3 linked regions of the Chlamydomonas reinhardtii genome follow. The protein of the gene in region 3 binds, or shares a complex with, the protein of the main gene of each other region. Links are inferred from orthologs where the notes say so. Each region holds a gene or a part of one and is shown on either strand. Other genes may lie near its edges. The genes, in order: CHLRE_09g403300v5, CHLRE_03g172050v5 and CHLRE_03g179550v5.

What was found.
Region 1: CHLRE_03g179550v5 (region 3) and CHLRE_09g403300v5 share a complex: the UniProt entries of both Arabidopsis thaliana proteins name them as parts of the 7-subunit TFIIH core complex. The link is inferred for Chlamydomonas reinhardtii from reciprocal best matches to the Arabidopsis thaliana genes GTF2H2 and AT4G17020.
Region 2: CHLRE_03g179550v5 (region 3) and CHLRE_03g172050v5 share a complex: the UniProt entries of both Arabidopsis thaliana proteins name them as parts of the 7-subunit TFIIH core complex. The link is inferred for Chlamydomonas reinhardtii from reciprocal best matches to the Arabidopsis thaliana genes GTF2H2 and AT1G18340.

The regions. Positions count from the first base shown.
Region 1 is NC_057012.1:644,603-649,271, reverse strand, and holds the end of CHLRE_09g403300v5 (uncharacterized protein), read right to left. Parts: intron 4,616-4,669; coding exon 4,465-4,615; intron 4,214-4,464; coding exon 3,971-4,213; intron 3,842-3,970; coding exon 3,714-3,841; intron 3,398-3,713; coding exon 3,313-3,397; intron 3,111-3,312; coding exon 3,060-3,110; intron 2,681-3,059; coding exon 2,548-2,680; intron 2,156-2,547; coding exon 2,100-2,155; 3' UTR 1,237-2,099; downstream 1-1,236. UniProt on the Arabidopsis thaliana protein: Component of the general transcription and DNA repair factor IIH (TFIIH) core complex, which is involved in general and transcription-coupled nucleotide excision repair (NER) of damaged DNA and, when complexed to CAK, in RNA transcription by RNA polymerase II.
Region 2 is NC_057006.1:4,009,700-4,014,998, forward strand, and holds CHLRE_03g172050v5 (uncharacterized protein), read right to left. Parts: upstream 3,577-5,299; 5' UTR 3,477-3,576; coding exon 3,470-3,476; intron 3,393-3,469; coding exon 3,289-3,392; intron 3,149-3,288; coding exon 3,069-3,148; intron 2,558-3,068; coding exon 2,394-2,557; intron 2,181-2,393; coding exon 1,920-2,180; intron 1,559-1,919; coding exon 1,251-1,558; 3' UTR 526-1,250; downstream 1-525. Other genes in the region: CHLRE_03g172100v5 (uncharacterized protein), read left to right, coding at 3,830-3,904, 4,049-4,180, 4,417-4,608, 4,902-5,095, 5,287-5,299. UniProt on the Arabidopsis thaliana protein: Component of the general transcription and DNA repair factor IIH (TFIIH) core complex, which is involved in general and transcription-coupled nucleotide excision repair (NER) of damaged DNA and, when complexed to CAK, in RNA transcription by RNA polymerase II.
Region 3 is NC_057006.1:4,896,894-4,902,071, reverse strand, and holds the start of CHLRE_03g179550v5 (uncharacterized protein), read right to left. Parts: upstream 3,570-5,178; 5' UTR 3,325-3,569; coding exon 3,251-3,324; intron 3,167-3,250; coding exon 3,076-3,166; intron 2,905-3,075; coding exon 2,809-2,904; intron 2,376-2,808; coding exon 2,156-2,375; intron 2,024-2,155; coding exon 1,849-2,023; intron 1,652-1,848; coding exon 1,486-1,651; intron 1,279-1,485; coding exon 1,048-1,278; intron 350-1,047; coding exon 104-349; 3' UTR 1-103. Other genes in the region: CHLRE_03g179500v5 (uncharacterized protein), read right to left, coding at 4,472-4,683, 4,919-5,023. UniProt on the Arabidopsis thaliana protein: Component of the general transcription and DNA repair factor IIH (TFIIH) core complex, which is involved in general and transcription-coupled nucleotide excision repair (NER) of damaged DNA and, when complexed to CAK, in RNA transcription by RNA polymerase II.

The sequences.
Region 1 (4,669 bases), on a different chromosome or scaffold from region 3:
CGACTACGGTGATCTATGAGTGATCTGCGCAATCGAGAAGCAGGAGTGAAGCCGCCGCGATTACGGCTGCATGTGAAGGCTTGCATGTGCTGGTTGTGCTGTCGGGCTGCTTTCCGGACGAATGGAGAGATGTGGGAGGTAACAAACTCGTCGGGCGCGTACCGGAGGTCTGGGGCTTTCGTCAATACCGTACGTAAGATGTCTGGCATGCGTCGACCGTATTACTGGGATCCTCTGCCGACGACACATTACACTCCACACCCTGGGGGACCCTCTGCCCCTGCAGAAGGGGCCGAGGTTAGTAGGCACTTAAAAATGCATGTTACGACTGCATGGCCGTCATGCCATATATGCCATCATGGTTGGGGCTGCACCCAATAAGATGAAGGTCCAGCATGGCCACTTCTACTATTCCTACATGGCCTCGGTTGTGTGATCTATGCCATTCATGCACTGGAAGAATATCGGTGGCTTTCAAGCCACCCCAACTATGACTTGAAGGGAGAGAATCGTCTGGAGACATAGTAAACTACTACACCATGCGGTATGAAGGTGCTTTGACACAAGCACGCCTGCTGAGAAAAGCGGAATATGGTGGTGAATGTGTACGTGCGAGAGAGAGTGATAGCAGTATGTTTCCCATGTGCATGGTTTCAACTCCTACATATTGGAGTGTCATGGGGCGTGATGAAATTGCAGAACCAGTGCATGGTGCACGGCTTTCGCACCCATGAAGTAGTTTTGATGCCTTCGGCCTCAGACGTTGCACCAACGTGGTGTTGGCGCAGCCCACTTTTCCCTTGAGAGGCAGATCAACATCATGCCGTTTTGGCCGCGTCCTTCATTATTCAGCGCCAGACTGCCAGTGCAATGCCAACTTGCCAAGGAATTCCCGTGCACTTGAGCCAGGGGAGAGGGTGTCGGCACGGCACTCAGTTGGGCTCGCTCTCACGCTCTGCTGAGGAACGCTGCGTTGGAAACCTGGAAGGGTGGCCTAGGCGCTCCGTGTGAGAGTCGTGTGTAGCGGGCCGTCCCAGCGCTACTGGACACCTGGGCGCGGCAGCCGGATGGCTGCTGGGGTGGAGTCCCGGGTCTGCTGGATGGCCGGGCCGAGGCTGCCGCTGACCGAGCAACCAATGCGTGGGTTGGACCGGCCCAGCACTGTTGGATGACCGGTCGGTCAGGTCGTTCTCAAGCAGGCAGGTGATGTGGCTGGATGCCCGCGACGATCGACTGACGGCCTGGCTTACGTCCACCACCGCTGCACAACCCGCATGCTCCCCTTCTGGCTTCTGCCCACTTTGCATGGTCCATCACCTCTAAAGCAGCACAGCTTTGCAGCTGCACGGCTCTACGGCTCACTCCACTCCTCCACTGCCACTTCACGCATCGTTTCCATATACTTGCCGACGCTTCCGTTACAGCACTCAATTGATAACGTCCAACTTTGAATGTCTTCTAGCAATTTCAAGTCCGAAACACACGCGCACACGAGACTCCTGCTCCTAACCAGCCAATCTTAATGGCCACCTGCGAGCACAGAGGGCACATCTCCTTCACTGTTGGGGGCGGCCGCCGTGTGGCGCCTCAGAATGCAGCTATCCAGCCACTACAGCCTCGAGCAGGACACCTATACCGGCAGTAGCTGCGAGTACGGTACGCCGAAGTTAACACCAAACCACACAATGCCGACAACACCGCTCCTGAGACACGCCGTACGCCATGCTACTCTTGGTACGGGTCGTTGAAACTCTAGGTTTCCGACTACCGGCTACGCTCGTGCGGAAACCTTCAAAGTCCAATCTAGCAGTCCCGCCAACCGGATGGCTGCGCATTACTAGCATCGTGCCCGGTACCACCGCACGCAGCCCAGCCTCCGCACGGACCAGCTGCCCCCAGCGGCACCCGCAGCGGCAGTCCGACGACTCCAAGCCCCTGGCAAGTCCTGCTGACAGCTCCAACGCTGCAGTTCCTGTTGTGACCTATAGCTGTGACCACGGCTGCAGCCGTGGCCGTGGGTCTGTCCCTACTTCACCATTAAACCTCTCGCCTGCTGCTACAGCCCCGGGCTCCTGCTGCTACATCCCGGGCTCCTGATGCTACAGCTTGAGGTCCTGCTTGGCCTTGACGATGAGCAGCTTCATAGCCTCGTGGCCTGTGTGGGATAGAGAAGCACAAGGGGACAGGGTCGAGACCGTGTGTTTGTGTGCGTGTGTGTATGTGGGCGTGCGGGTTGCTGATTCCGGCAATTTGGGGCTGGTGGGGAGAGGACGAGGAGGAGGAGAGGAAGGCCCGAGACGCACGAGATAGGGGAGGATAGTGTGAGGAGTTTAATAGAACCGAACCCAACATGACAGCCAAAGTGCGCCGAGCTGCACTGAAAGCTGCACCGGGAGTCCGTTGAGCGAGAAAGGGACCAAGGCGTGGGCTCTGCTTCCGCACGGCTCATACCATTCCACTGCGCCCCAACCCAAAGCCCCGCCCGACCACCCAATCTCAACCACCCAACTACCCGCCCAACCACCCAACCACCCAACCGCCACCCACCTGACTCCAGCGCCACGAAGCGCATGCGGGCTCCGTCCTCCCACTGCAGTGTGCCGGCCGCCCGCGCCGCCGCCACGGCCCGCTCGTACAGCTGGCGGCTCTCCATGTTCTCATACAGCACCGCGGGGTGGGCCTTTGCGGGGAGGAGGGGGGGGGGACGGGGAGGGGGCAGCCTTTCACGTGGAGAACGAAGTGATCAAATCACAAATATGGGGGGAGGACGATAAGGGAGCGTGTGTGGGCATGTATGCGTGTGGGGCGGCACGTTTGTGAGCGGAGCGGGTGGCATCGGGCGGTGCTGCCGTCCATAAAACACGGAGCAGGAGGGTGGTGGGCGGGAAGTGATGGGTCGGGGAGGAGGCAAACAGGTTTTGGGCCGGCAAGGCGTGTGCCAGCCGCGGACCCAGTGGGCTGCCCGTGTGGCTTGCAGCCTCAACCCCTGGCCGCGCCCCTGCCCGTACACGCGCTCCCCGCCCTCCACCCCGATTCCCCCACCGCGCGTGTGCCCCCACCTGCAGCCTATTCATGGACGCCTCCCACAGCCGGATCTGGTCCGACACAACCTGATCCGGAGGGCAGGGAGGGATTACATGTATGGGTACTTAAGAAGAAGCGAAGGCATAGTCAGGCGCAATGGTAAAAGGTAATGACAAATAGCAGGCGACATACGATTGCTTGGACGCAGACGCAACCCTGCATGTACCCGTCCCCCCCACCCCTTCGCGCCCGCTAACACATGCACGCACGCAGGCCGCAAGGACGCACCTCAGGCACCACGGGGCAGCGGGCGGCGATGGAGGGGTGGGGCCGGGCGGACAGGTACGCCACCAGCTCATCCGCAGTGATGCCCCTGTGCGTGCGTGTGTACGTGTGTGCGCGTGCGTACACGTGTCGCAGGCATGCGGGTCAGGGAAAGCGGGCAAGAACCATTCCACGTGAGATACTAAGTGAGGGGTCAGGAGTCTTCCAGATGAACCCTGTAATCCAGACCCCGAGGGCACTCTCCTATGACTGGCCCCAACGCCATCCCGCCGAACTCGGGTTGCCCGCCCCTGTGCCCCGTCCGTTCCCCAACGCTCCCACCCTCCCGCTCCTCTCTCCTTCCGTCCCTCTCTTCCCTTTCCACTTCCTCCCTCCCTCTCACCCAAATCCCTGTGTGTCCCCACCTGGCCAGCGCTGCCAGTATACTGTCGCGGCGGATGGCCCCCACGAACAGGTTGGGCAGCAGAGCCTCGCGCTTCACAAACAGCTCCAACACAGCAATGGTGACTGGCGAGCGAGTGTACACATACACCTGGAGGTTGGAGAGGGCGTAGGGAGGCGTGTGTGCATGAGCTCCGGAAAAAGGACAACCTCTTGCCTGCATGTGTTAGGACGAGCACTCGGTAAGGGACGCGATGTGCCTGTCCGCAATAGCCCTCACTCGGTAATTGCTTTCTACAATGACAAAGGCGTCGCTGCCCGCGCCGCCGCCATCCATCGCCGCCGCAGCGGCCGCGCCGCCCGCGCCGCCGCCACGAGCCGCCAGCGCGCCGCCGCTGCCGGCGGCCCCCGCGCTGCCCTTGCCTCCCGCGGCGCCACCTGCCCCGCCGCCAGCTCCGCCGCTGCCGCCGCACAGGGACGCGGCGAGGCGCGTGGGTGTGTAGAATACCTCCCCGTCATCGGTCTGAGGGCGATTAAAGGAGGAGAGGGCATCCATACATGGAGACAGGAATGAATGAGGAGCGCCGCCAAGTTGTATCCCAAGGCCGAGAACCGGCAGCCAGCCCCGAACACATCGCGACGCTCTTTACCTTTCCCCAGCGCTCTCCCACAACCCTGCCGCACCCCTCCTCCTCGTGCCTCCTCCCCCTTCCTGCCCCTCTACCTCTACCGTCTACCACTTCCTTAGCTAATCATGAATGTAACCCCTCCCACCTGGAACACCGCCAGCACGCCCAGCTGCGCCAGGTGTGCCGCCATGCGCTGCTCCGGCGGCCGCAGCTCCGCCCAGGCGCAGGGCTGCCCCACCCGCCGGAAGCCCAGCTGCAACAGGAAGGACAGCGTGTGGGCCAGCTCGTCACCGGACCTGCGGGCGCGTGTGGGGTGGATGCGGGAGTGGGGGTGGGCATGGCTGAGGGGT
Region 2 (5,299 bases), about 890 kb from region 3:
CCTAGGCTCCTCAAACGGGCCTCAACACAAACGTTCACAAACCTTCACAGTCGTCTGCACCCCTGCCTGCCTGAGTGCCCGGGACAAGCTGAATGAATAGCTCGCGCCCAACACTACTGAGTGCACACGCAAGGAGCGGCAGCTGGAAATGCTAAAAGAGGCCAGGCTAGGCAACGTGATGGAGCAACGTGATGAGAGTGCGTGGCATTACCCATTTACCCGGTCACCAAACTGTCATGCCATGTTTGGCAGGAATCTGCTTAGGGGTTGCGTGCAGCAGGCTGCGGGCCAGGAGTGGATATAGCAGTTGAGTGCGGAGAGGCATGTTGCGTGCACATCAGTTATATAGAACAGCTGTTGATGTGTCACCAGATACACACAGGACCATACCATTTCTTTGTGTTTAGTGCATGTGTATGTGTGTATGTTTTGCGGCGTGCGTGTGTGAGTGTGAGGGTGCGCGTGTTTAAGCAACACACCTGAAGAATAAGTGGGCGCACATGCACTGAAGGCGGCCGTGCAAGGAAAGCCTCCCCATTACAACTTCGGCTGTGAGGGTAGGTACGTAACAGCAGCGTGCATGTAACTGATGGACTGATGGACTGATGGACTGATGGCAGGGATACAGGTGCGCTACACAGTGATTGGGCTTCACCACTAGGGTGCATAGGCCCTCTTGCATCTTCCAGGGGTAGGCCGCCGCCGCTGGCGAGAAGGCCACGTTCTCGCCCACGCCATCCAGGGGCCCCAAAATGCCTTGCCAAAACCCACCGGAAACGGGTAGTTGGCGAGATTCAGGGGCCGTATGCAGCCCCACGCAGCCCCACGCGGCGCGAATGCACCTCCACCTCCACTGCGGCAGGCCCTCCACCCGAGGCAGGGGCGGGTATCTTTCAACCAGATATGCAATTGCATCTGCTTGTGTGACGCCCTCTGACCCACTCCATACCGATAATGTAGCTTGTCGCCAAGCCCGACATGACTAACTTGACACTTCGTTAATTTTCTTGTTCATTCGTTCCATCAGCCTCCCAAAATGTGCCCGCTTGTGCCATTGCATCTCACACCATAGCTATGCTTCCAACACAAAGCGTGACGCCCGCCACGCGTTTATTTATAATCATCAGCCGCAGCCTCAACACAACCACTTGGCCGTCCCTGGCGGATTGCCACTGCCCGTGGGCCTACCCCTGCGTGCATACCGCCTGACACCCGCACCCCCACACGCCCCTGCGTCCCATCTCCCGCCCTCACGACCCGCCTCCCACCGCGCCCGCCCCTCCCCCGCCCCCACCAGCGCCCACCGCCTTGCCGCCCGCACCGAACGCTGTGCCGCACGTGGTGCATGAGCGGCTGGGCTGGCAGAAAATGGACAGGCACACGCTGCACACGTAGCCAGTCTCTATGACGTACTTGTGGCAGAAGCAGGAGGCACGGAAGTCCACCCCTAAGGCCTGAGCCTCATCCAGCTGCTTGCGGGTGGCGGTGTCGCACACGAAGTGGTTGAGCAGCACACCCAGCAGGCCGCGACCTCGGTGCGGCCGGAAATACAGCCCGCCTGCGTGTGTGCATGTTGGGCATTGTGGGTTTGGTTGTGTCAGCGAGCCGAGCACGCCGCCGCTGCCACCGGGTTGCAGCGTGCGGCCTCAGCTTGTGGCTCGCTCGGTCATACCGGTATGCTCTGGCTCGTAGAACGTCAAACTGCTCAACGGCGCAGCCAACCATTGTTTAGCCCCATCCCATGCGTGGCCTACCAGCATCAACCAACGCACCCACTGCAGCCCTTCCTCAAACACCACCTTGAGCACCGACGAATGCCACCAAGCCCTCAAGCACCCAGCAGCCCACCACCTACCACCCTACCACCCTTCCACCCTAGAACCCTACCACCCTACCGCCCTAGCGCCCTAGCACCGCACCTGTGAGGTGCGCGGCCTGCTGCATGAAGGACGAGTCCTGCGGCGCCACGACCACCGCATCCAGCACCACCTGGGCGCGCTGCGCGGAGAAGATGGCATTCATCACCGGGATGTACTGAGCCGCCGTGTCGCCGCAGCCCAGCAGCGCCAGCACACGAGGCCGCCCGCGCGGCCGCCCGCCCGCGGCCGCCTGCTGCTGCTGCAGGCGGTGGACCAGACACAGCGCGCGGGACAGTGCGCCCGACAGCGCGAAGCCGGGGCCTGGGGCGGGGTGGGGTTGGGGGTGGGGGTGGGGGGTTGCGTGAGTGCCGGCAGACGGCAGAGAGACTGGGGCCAAGCGCGATGCGATGCACGGTGAACGGCGAACATGCAAGCGCCTTTACCCTGGTCCGTGCGCCCGACATCGACACATTCCCCTCCTTTACCACCACCCAAACAAGGCGCTGCCACTCGCCAACGCGGCATCATTCCCACCTGCGCCCTGGCCAGCATTGGCTGCAGCCCCTGCGCCCGCGCCTCCTGCCGCCGCCGCCGCCGCGCACTGCGTGACCAGGTCCGTCAGTCGTGTGTGCAGGGCGCCGGCGGGGAAGACCTCGGTGTTACTGGCGTCCTCGCCCAGGCCCAGGTGCACCAGGTGGCTGAGGGGGGAGAGGGGAGAGGGGAGAGGGGGAGAGGGTGGATGACGAGTGGAGTTGATGCGGAGGGGTAGTAGGTGCGGGCAGGTGGTGGGTTGGAAGAGACGTGGGATGGTCGCAAACAGGCGGCACCCGCGGGAGAGGGCGGCACAGGTTGGGAAGCAGGCGGCACAGCAGCAGCAGGAGTGCAGCTGCGTCCAGACCACGGCACGGCCTGTGTGCGTCACGGCCTGTGTGCCGCACGGTCCGGGCTGGCCCCAGCACCTGGCCGGCTGCTAGCGGCCGCCACACACCCCGAACACTCGCACAGAGCAGCTCGCACCCCCCATGCCCCCCATGCGTGTGCTGTGTGCAGCCTTGGCACTGCAGCAGCGCCAGGGACCCATGGGGCCATGGCGCTCGTGTGGAGGCGCCATGCGGAGGTAGCTGGCGGCTGGCGGCTGGCGGCTGGCTGCTAGCGGCGGTCGGCTACGAAGCAGGAGATAGGCTCCGTCTGGGCCGGCCAGCCCCGCACCTGAAGTCGTGTTGCCCCGCGAACACGGCGAGGCGGTTGTGGCTGCTGAGCATGGTGTAGGCATTTGCAAAAGCCAGGAGCTGCAGGAAGTCAGGGGCAGGAGGTGAGGGGCAGGGAAGGGTATGGGCATGGGGTGCAGGTGTTGCAGCAGGTCAGCACGCGAACGGCAGACAAAGGCGGAACGCGATGGTTCTTCCCCGCGTGCGCTCCCCGGCCCCACCTGAGACAGGATCTCGGCCGGAGTCACGTCAAGGGAGTCCGCCGAGGGATTATCCGGGCGCAGCAGCACCAGGTCGAAGAGCACCACCAGCAAATCGCCCTCGTCTGCGACAGAGCGAGTCCATTTCAGTCGCGTTAAATGACATTGCTAACCTAATGTTTTTAAGCCCCGAATGACTTGCCCGCCATGGCCTCGGCGCCCGCCGCGCGAGCAGCGCGCGGAACTTAATGTGCAGTGCAGCTCATTGACACATTCATAGACTTGCTTCCCGATTTATTACTTGTAAGCTTGATATCTATACATAATTCATGTATTGACTGGCATCGAAAATCCACGGAAGACTCCGATCGATGCAATAAATACACGCGGGTCCATTGGCCCCAGCTTCACGTTCTAGATCGCTCCACTGCGCTTGTTTCCTAGGCCAACTATGCTCTCTGGAAGCCGCTACACCTGCACGTCAGCAGCGGCGAAGCGACAGCTGCAGCGGACGGAGCGGGCTGCACGTACGGGTGCTCCACGGGGTCAGGGTGTCGTTGCCATGGCAACTTCCCCAGCCCCCGATGCGGCCAAGCTGCGGTCCATCGTCCAGGCGGGGTCTCCCGTCCTACGGCAGGTGCGAGCTTTACAGCTGACACGCAGCTTCGCCGCACACCCCTTGCATTCAGCATTCCGTCCCCTGTCCCCGCTCCTGTGCCGGCCCGCACGCTGGTTGGGGTTGAGGCTCGGTGACTTGCTTGCTCCTCTGCCCGCAGCACAGCCTGCCAAGACGGTGCCTCGCGAGCTGCTGGGTAGCGGCTGGCTCCGGGGCCTGGCAGAGGAGATGACGGACGTCATGCGTGCGGCGCCGGGGGTGGGGCTGGCCGCACCACAGATTGGCGAACCCTGGCGGGTGGGTGGTGTAGACGATAAGGAAGGGGGGCGGTGGGCAGTGCGGTAGGCAGGCTGCGGCTGGGCTGGTGCCGCGTTGCCGTGCATGTGCCGGTGTCACTCCATCACCGCACGTTGGTGCACGCAGCTAGGAGCGAGCAATAGGGGCATGGCGACCCACATCGGCACGCTAGGTTCGCACTTGCATGTTCGCATGTTCGCACACCACTCCTCGCTGCATCGCTGCGGGGCCCGCAGGTAATTGTGATGGAGGACCGCCAGGAGTACATGGACCGGCAGGCGGCGGCGGGCGTGTACAGCGCCGAGCTGCTGGCGGCGGTGGAGCGGCGGCCGTTCGGGCCGCTGGTGGTGGTCAACCCCACCCTCAAGGCGGTGGGGCAGGAGGGCGGCGCGTTCTTCGAGGGCTGCCTCAGCGTGCGCGGGTACACGGTGGGTGGGTGGCCGCGGCAGTCTGCCTGCCTGGGGAATGAGGGAAGAGAGGGGGTCGTGGGGCGGTTTTTGCCGTACAAAGGGATAAGCGGTCAGAGGGAGTGGGTTGTGTTGGGGTGTAGGATGCGAGTGTCTGGCAGAGGAGCACCAAGCTGGGCGGGCGGTGCTGCGGCAGTTGGTGGCGAAGCAGCGGGGCCTGGCACACGCCAGCCCCACATGCACACCCACCTACTGTCGCAAGCCGCCGTATGCTTTCCTTTCACGCTGCTGCTGCTGTTGCCGCGCCCCTGCAGGCGATTGTGCGGCGGTACCGGGAGGTGGACCTGGAGGGGGTGGACGTGGAGGGGCTGCCGCTGCGGCTGCGGCTGACGGGCTGGGCGGCGCGCATCGCGCAGCACGAGGTGGACCACCTGGCCGGGGTGCTGTACGTGGACCGCATGGACGCCCGGAGCCTGGCGGCGGCGGACAACATGCCGGAGTGGGTCAGGTGGGTCAGGTGGGAGGCAGGAACTGGGGGTGCAAGAAGCCCCGGTACAGTCTTAAAAAGCATTCTCGATAACAGTGCTATGAGCCTGAAGGGAGCCTGCATGTGGAGCTCTACAGCCTGATAGTCGCCTCAGTGTATTGCAGATAAAGAGCTTTACTCGTAAGTCGCGCGTGTGTGTTTATTCCTTGCAGGGCGCTGCCAGGC
Region 3 (5,178 bases):
CGGCCTGCTAGCGACGCGTGCTGTCCGCTCGTCATTTTAGCCTACAGCCCTTGGGAAAGCACTCAAAATTGATAAAAGCTGCCAACTTCGCACTCTCGGGGCATCAACCGGCCCCCAGGAACTCGCAGCCGGGGCAATTGTGTAGGCTTTCGTGGACGTACGCGTCGCATTCGAAGCAAAACACCTGCTTGCACTGGCCACAGCGCAGCGTGAGGTGCAGCTGCCCCTTGACGCCCGGCTCCGACACCTCGCGTAGGCAGCCGAAGCAGTACGCGCCCGTGGTTGTCATAACCTCGCTGCACATGGCCGGTTGCTGCGCCTGCACCGCTGCCGCAGCCTCCGCCCGCTCCTGCAGTGCATCCGAAGAACGTTCACTGAACAGCCGTGCGAAATGTGGAAGAAGTTGTAGCTAGGGCATTATTCCTGCACAAATCCAACTCTTCGACATGACACGACCTGACTAAGACGACCCGGGGTATGCTCCACAAATCCTTGCAATAATCGACATGCGCTGCATTATGTCGCCCCATTACGCAAATGCGCATCTCAAATAGTAGCAGCAACTGCCCAGGACTTGGCAGCCACGACGCGTGCACAAGCCAACAGTGTCGTGCGGCAAAACCACGACGCCTCCTGGCCGACGCCTTACCGCCCACGACCTCGCCTTACCGCGACCTGCGCGTCACACCTTCCCTCCCTGGCACCCCACCCCACCTCCTACCTCCCCCCTACTGGACATATCGGCGCTTGTAACTTTCAGGGACGGCTACCCCCACCCATCCACTCACCGCCACGCGTCCTTCAGTCAGTCCGCGCCAATAAGCCCGCACGTGCCGTGCACGCCGTCTGCTTCCGCAACCCACCCCCACAAAAACCCTTCATGCGCTATCCCTATGGGCCATTTCGTCAACGGTATGCTCCTGCTGTTTCTACAGGAAGCCGGCACTCTGAACCTGTGGTTTGATCACTCCGTTCTCCATGAACGGCTAAGCCCCTCTTCCACGCCCCTCCCACGCCCCTCCCACGCCCCTCCACACAGGCACGCACCTCGCTGTCCTCGTGGTAGGGCTGCACCGGGAACAGGTGGTGGTAGGAGCGCGCCAGGTGCGGGCTGGAGATGAGCGTCAGGCCGCACGTGTGGCACTCCACGGGCAGCTCGGGCACGCGGCTGCGGCAGCGCGGGCAGGTGTAGCTGCCCGGCAGCAGCCGCGCCTCCTGCCCCACGAACACCGCCGAGCTGGCCTCCTCCGTGCTGCGCTGCGGAAAGCCCATGCGTACCTGGCGCCCGCCACGTCAAAAGCAGGAGGGGGAGGCAAGGCGTGAGGCAGGGCGGAGGTGGTCAAGCCGGGACTACCGGGACGCGGGCAACCAAGAACTGATGTAGCCCTGTATCAAGCACGCCAACACAGCTCGGCCTTCTCCCGCCCGCCCGGACAGCTGCTGCAGAGCGCCACAGCCCGAACCCCGGCCCCCTCGCGGCCTCACCAGCTCCGCCTTGGCCTGTGCTGCTGTGGCTGGCGGTGGCGGCGAGTGCGCCATGAGCAGCTGCTCCAGGTGTCCCTCGTTGAGCGCCACGCCGTAGGTGCCGCCCGTGTCCTCCGTGATGCGTCGGCACACGTACACCTCGGCAGCCACACCCACCACCGACACCCTGCGGACAGGTCGACGGGCGGGCGGGCGCGTATGAGCATGGGTGCCATGGATTAAAAAAACAACAAAACGAAGCTCTGGGTGCCATGTATGTGTGTATCCTCACGGTCAAGGTGTTGTGGCGCTCGCTACCTCCGGCCCGTGTCTCTGATTCATTGATGGGAATGGCGAAATAAACTCCCTCCCTCCCCCGCTCACCGTATGTTGTTGTCCTTGCACGCCTTGACGCTGTCCAGCACATTGCCCGGGTCGCAGCTGGCCAGCGCCGCGAAGAGCAGCAGCAGCTCCCGGTGCCCGTACGGCGGCAGCTGCTTCAGCAGCGACACGCCCAGCTCCAGCGCGTTCTGCAGGGAGGCGTCGCCGGCGGGTGCGCCTGCGTGCGGGGCGGGCGGGTCGCGGAGTGCGGTGGTTAGGAACTAGCCATTAGTCCCACGCACACACGCACATACGCACACGAGCTGGCAGTAGCCCTGCCCTGTCCTGCGCGACCCCGCCCCCCACGCACCCAGCTTGCCGGCATCCAGCCTCGCCACCTGCGCCTCCGGCGATCCGCTCAGGTCCGTCAGCTTCTCCACCAGCCCGCCGCGCATCACCGCAATGCCCAGCTGGCTCAGCGGGTTCTGGTCGAAGAACTCGCGCACGAAGGAGCGGCACAGCGACAGCATGCAGCCTAGCCGGTTGGGCCGCAGGTCCTGGGCGGAGGCGGCGCGCGACAGGTCCACCACCTGTGTGACCAGGAAGCGGGGAGGCAAATGGCCACAGGGGAGGACGGCGCCGAGGGGCGGTGAGAGCTGAAGAGGTTTAGAAGAGATGGAGCTGCGTGGTGGCACAAGGGATGGGCCGGCTTGGAAAAGGAGAGCGCGTGGTGTGTCTGGCGTGTTTGTGCCCGCGTGCCACTGCTGGTCCCAGTCCGTCGCAGTCCTTACGTCCCCGCACGCACTGGGCCCTTGTGACGGCATGTGGACACCAATGCACGCACGCGCGCACACATACACACACACACACACACACACACACACACACACACACACACACACACACACACACACACACACACACACACACACACACACACACACACACAACCAAACAAATACAAACACACACACACACACACACACACAGACACACACCAGCCCAGCTGCCCCAGGTGCTCACCAGCAGCACATAGCGGATCATGCCCTTGCGGATGCGGGCGCTTTGCGCCGCCGACAGCAACCGCTGTCTCCGGGCGCGCTGCTCCGCGGTTTTGTCCTGTGGGACATCGCGTGAGGGGTCAGGCATGACACAGGCCAACTTCTGGATGTATTTTGTGAGTCGCTGTGGCAGTCCAGATCTCGGCCGCCGGATGGCAGCCCGGCTGGCAGGAAGGGGAGCGACCATCGGCACCAGGGCACGGTTTCTCCAGCCGGCTCAGGCACGTACCACGAACAGGTTGCCATGCTCATCCTCCTGCAGCTGATCCCATGTCTGCTCGTTTTCATATTGCCGCTGGTATGCCTCCTCTTGTCGTCGCCTGCACAGCGAGAGGAGCGAACAGGCTGAAATGCCAACCCGCTTCGCGGCGCCCGCTGTGCAATGTTGGTAACCAAACTCTTACAGTTCATTCTCGTCAATGTCGTCGTCGTCTCCATCTTCAATCCCGAGGTCGTCTCTCCGCTCGGCTGCTGCCATTGGAGTTCGCGCGCTCGCCCGCCACACAGCCGCTCAATTTAATCTAGCTTGACTTTGCTTTCTATTGAGATATAAAGGACCCGGAACGGAATAGACGAGAGGGAGAGGCACCGTAAGGACCGACGTCAGGGAGCAGGTGCGGGTTTTGGAGTGTGCAGCAAGTCCGTGCTCGGCAGGCCCGGCGGTGAGTCGCTTGGTAATGAGACGTGCGTGGTATCTGCGTTGAGCGTAATGATATGCTTCTCATTCATTCGGACTTGTGAAGGCTGCGTGCTCCTTCGTGATTACTATGCCGCCAAGGGGGGCCCCTGTGGGCCCAGCCTCATGCAGCTGCATGCAGGGGCGGCTGCATGCAGTCGCGCAGGAGCACCCACAGGCCACTACCGGCTTCACGGCTTACACATAAGACCATGGGCTCGATTCTCCAATGACTCCAGCATTCAATGGCAGTTCTTAATAATATTACGCGTGAGCCGCGCTGATGGACCCAGGGTGCGGCGTACCAGGACCCCGTGACATGCGCCTCCATGCATCATGAAACCCTTGCCCAAATGCGCGGGCACACGCGTGCGCCTCATGTCTACAACCTGCTCTCATGCTGCACAATTCAGCCATTAGGACTGTATTCTTCCAGACAAGAAACGGTAAAGCTCTTGCCTTGCAAAGGGTGCCAATGCAGCGCCCCATGCTGCCATGCACGCCACCAAAATCAACCTGGCACCCACTACCCTTGCACGCAGCGTGTACCGCAACAGCTCTGCCCAGATACACACAGCTAACGTTATAATCACGCGTCAGCGGAAAATTGCGCTGCTGGCCTCCCACAAGATATGAAGAATGAAAATCTAAACTGAGACTGTTGGTGATGCACAGCCGTACAATGTGGTACGTGGTGTACCGCCGCCAACGCGTCCAGAGGTCAGCATCAGCTCATCGCAGTGATAAGCAGGGGAGTTCCATGCACCACTCGGCCGAGCCGCTTCTTTCCGAGGGGTCCAACGGGCTCGCCGTACACCAACTGCTTATCTGCGCACCTCTCCTCCCTGCTGCGCTGCCGGTCACATTGCCTGCCTGCCTGCCTGCCTGCCTGCCTGCCTGCCTGCCTGCCTGCCTGCCTGCCTGCCTGCCTGCCCCGGCCCTTTCGCTCCTAGGGGTTGTAGGATCCCTTGTTGCGGATCCACTTGACCGCCACCCACTTGTTGCCAGTCACCACCGGGCAGCTGCCGTGCAGCGCGTGCTGGTCCAGCCGGCCGTCCGGGAAGGCGCTCCAGAACAGCACGGCGTCGCCGGCGCGCGGCTTGTAGCGCAGCCCGCCGTCCGCATCGCAGTCGGTCCAGTTGGTGATCGGCTTGTCGATGTCTGGGTGGGGAGTGATGTGGAGTAGGTGCCGGTCAGCAGGGTTCGGTGTTGGGGGAGACAGCCTTTGCCCGGTAATCAATGGCAGTGGTTGGTGCCGTACAGACGCAGCTGGGTCCCCCTGCCCCATAGCGCGCCCTGACCCTCCACTCGCTTGCAGCCCCGCCCGCAGCCACCCGTGCAAACACACGCGCTGCTCGCTGGCTCGGGGCCCCCTCCAGGCTGCCGCGCCACTCACTGGCCTTGCCCTCGCGTTTGAACACCGTTTCTCCGCCCACCAGGCCCTCATCGCTGAGCACCACAATCACCGTAGCGATGCGCTGCGAGTACTGCTGGCCGTACTCTGCGGCGGCGGGGGGGGGGCGACCAGGGCAGCGGCAGGACCTCCGTGTTTGGTCATTGTTCGGGTTAGTGCACGAGCGGGTGGCCCATTACGTCTAACACTTCATCCCCGCCCGCCGCGCCCTCCCCAAGGTCATTGCTGCTTTCGCAAGGCCC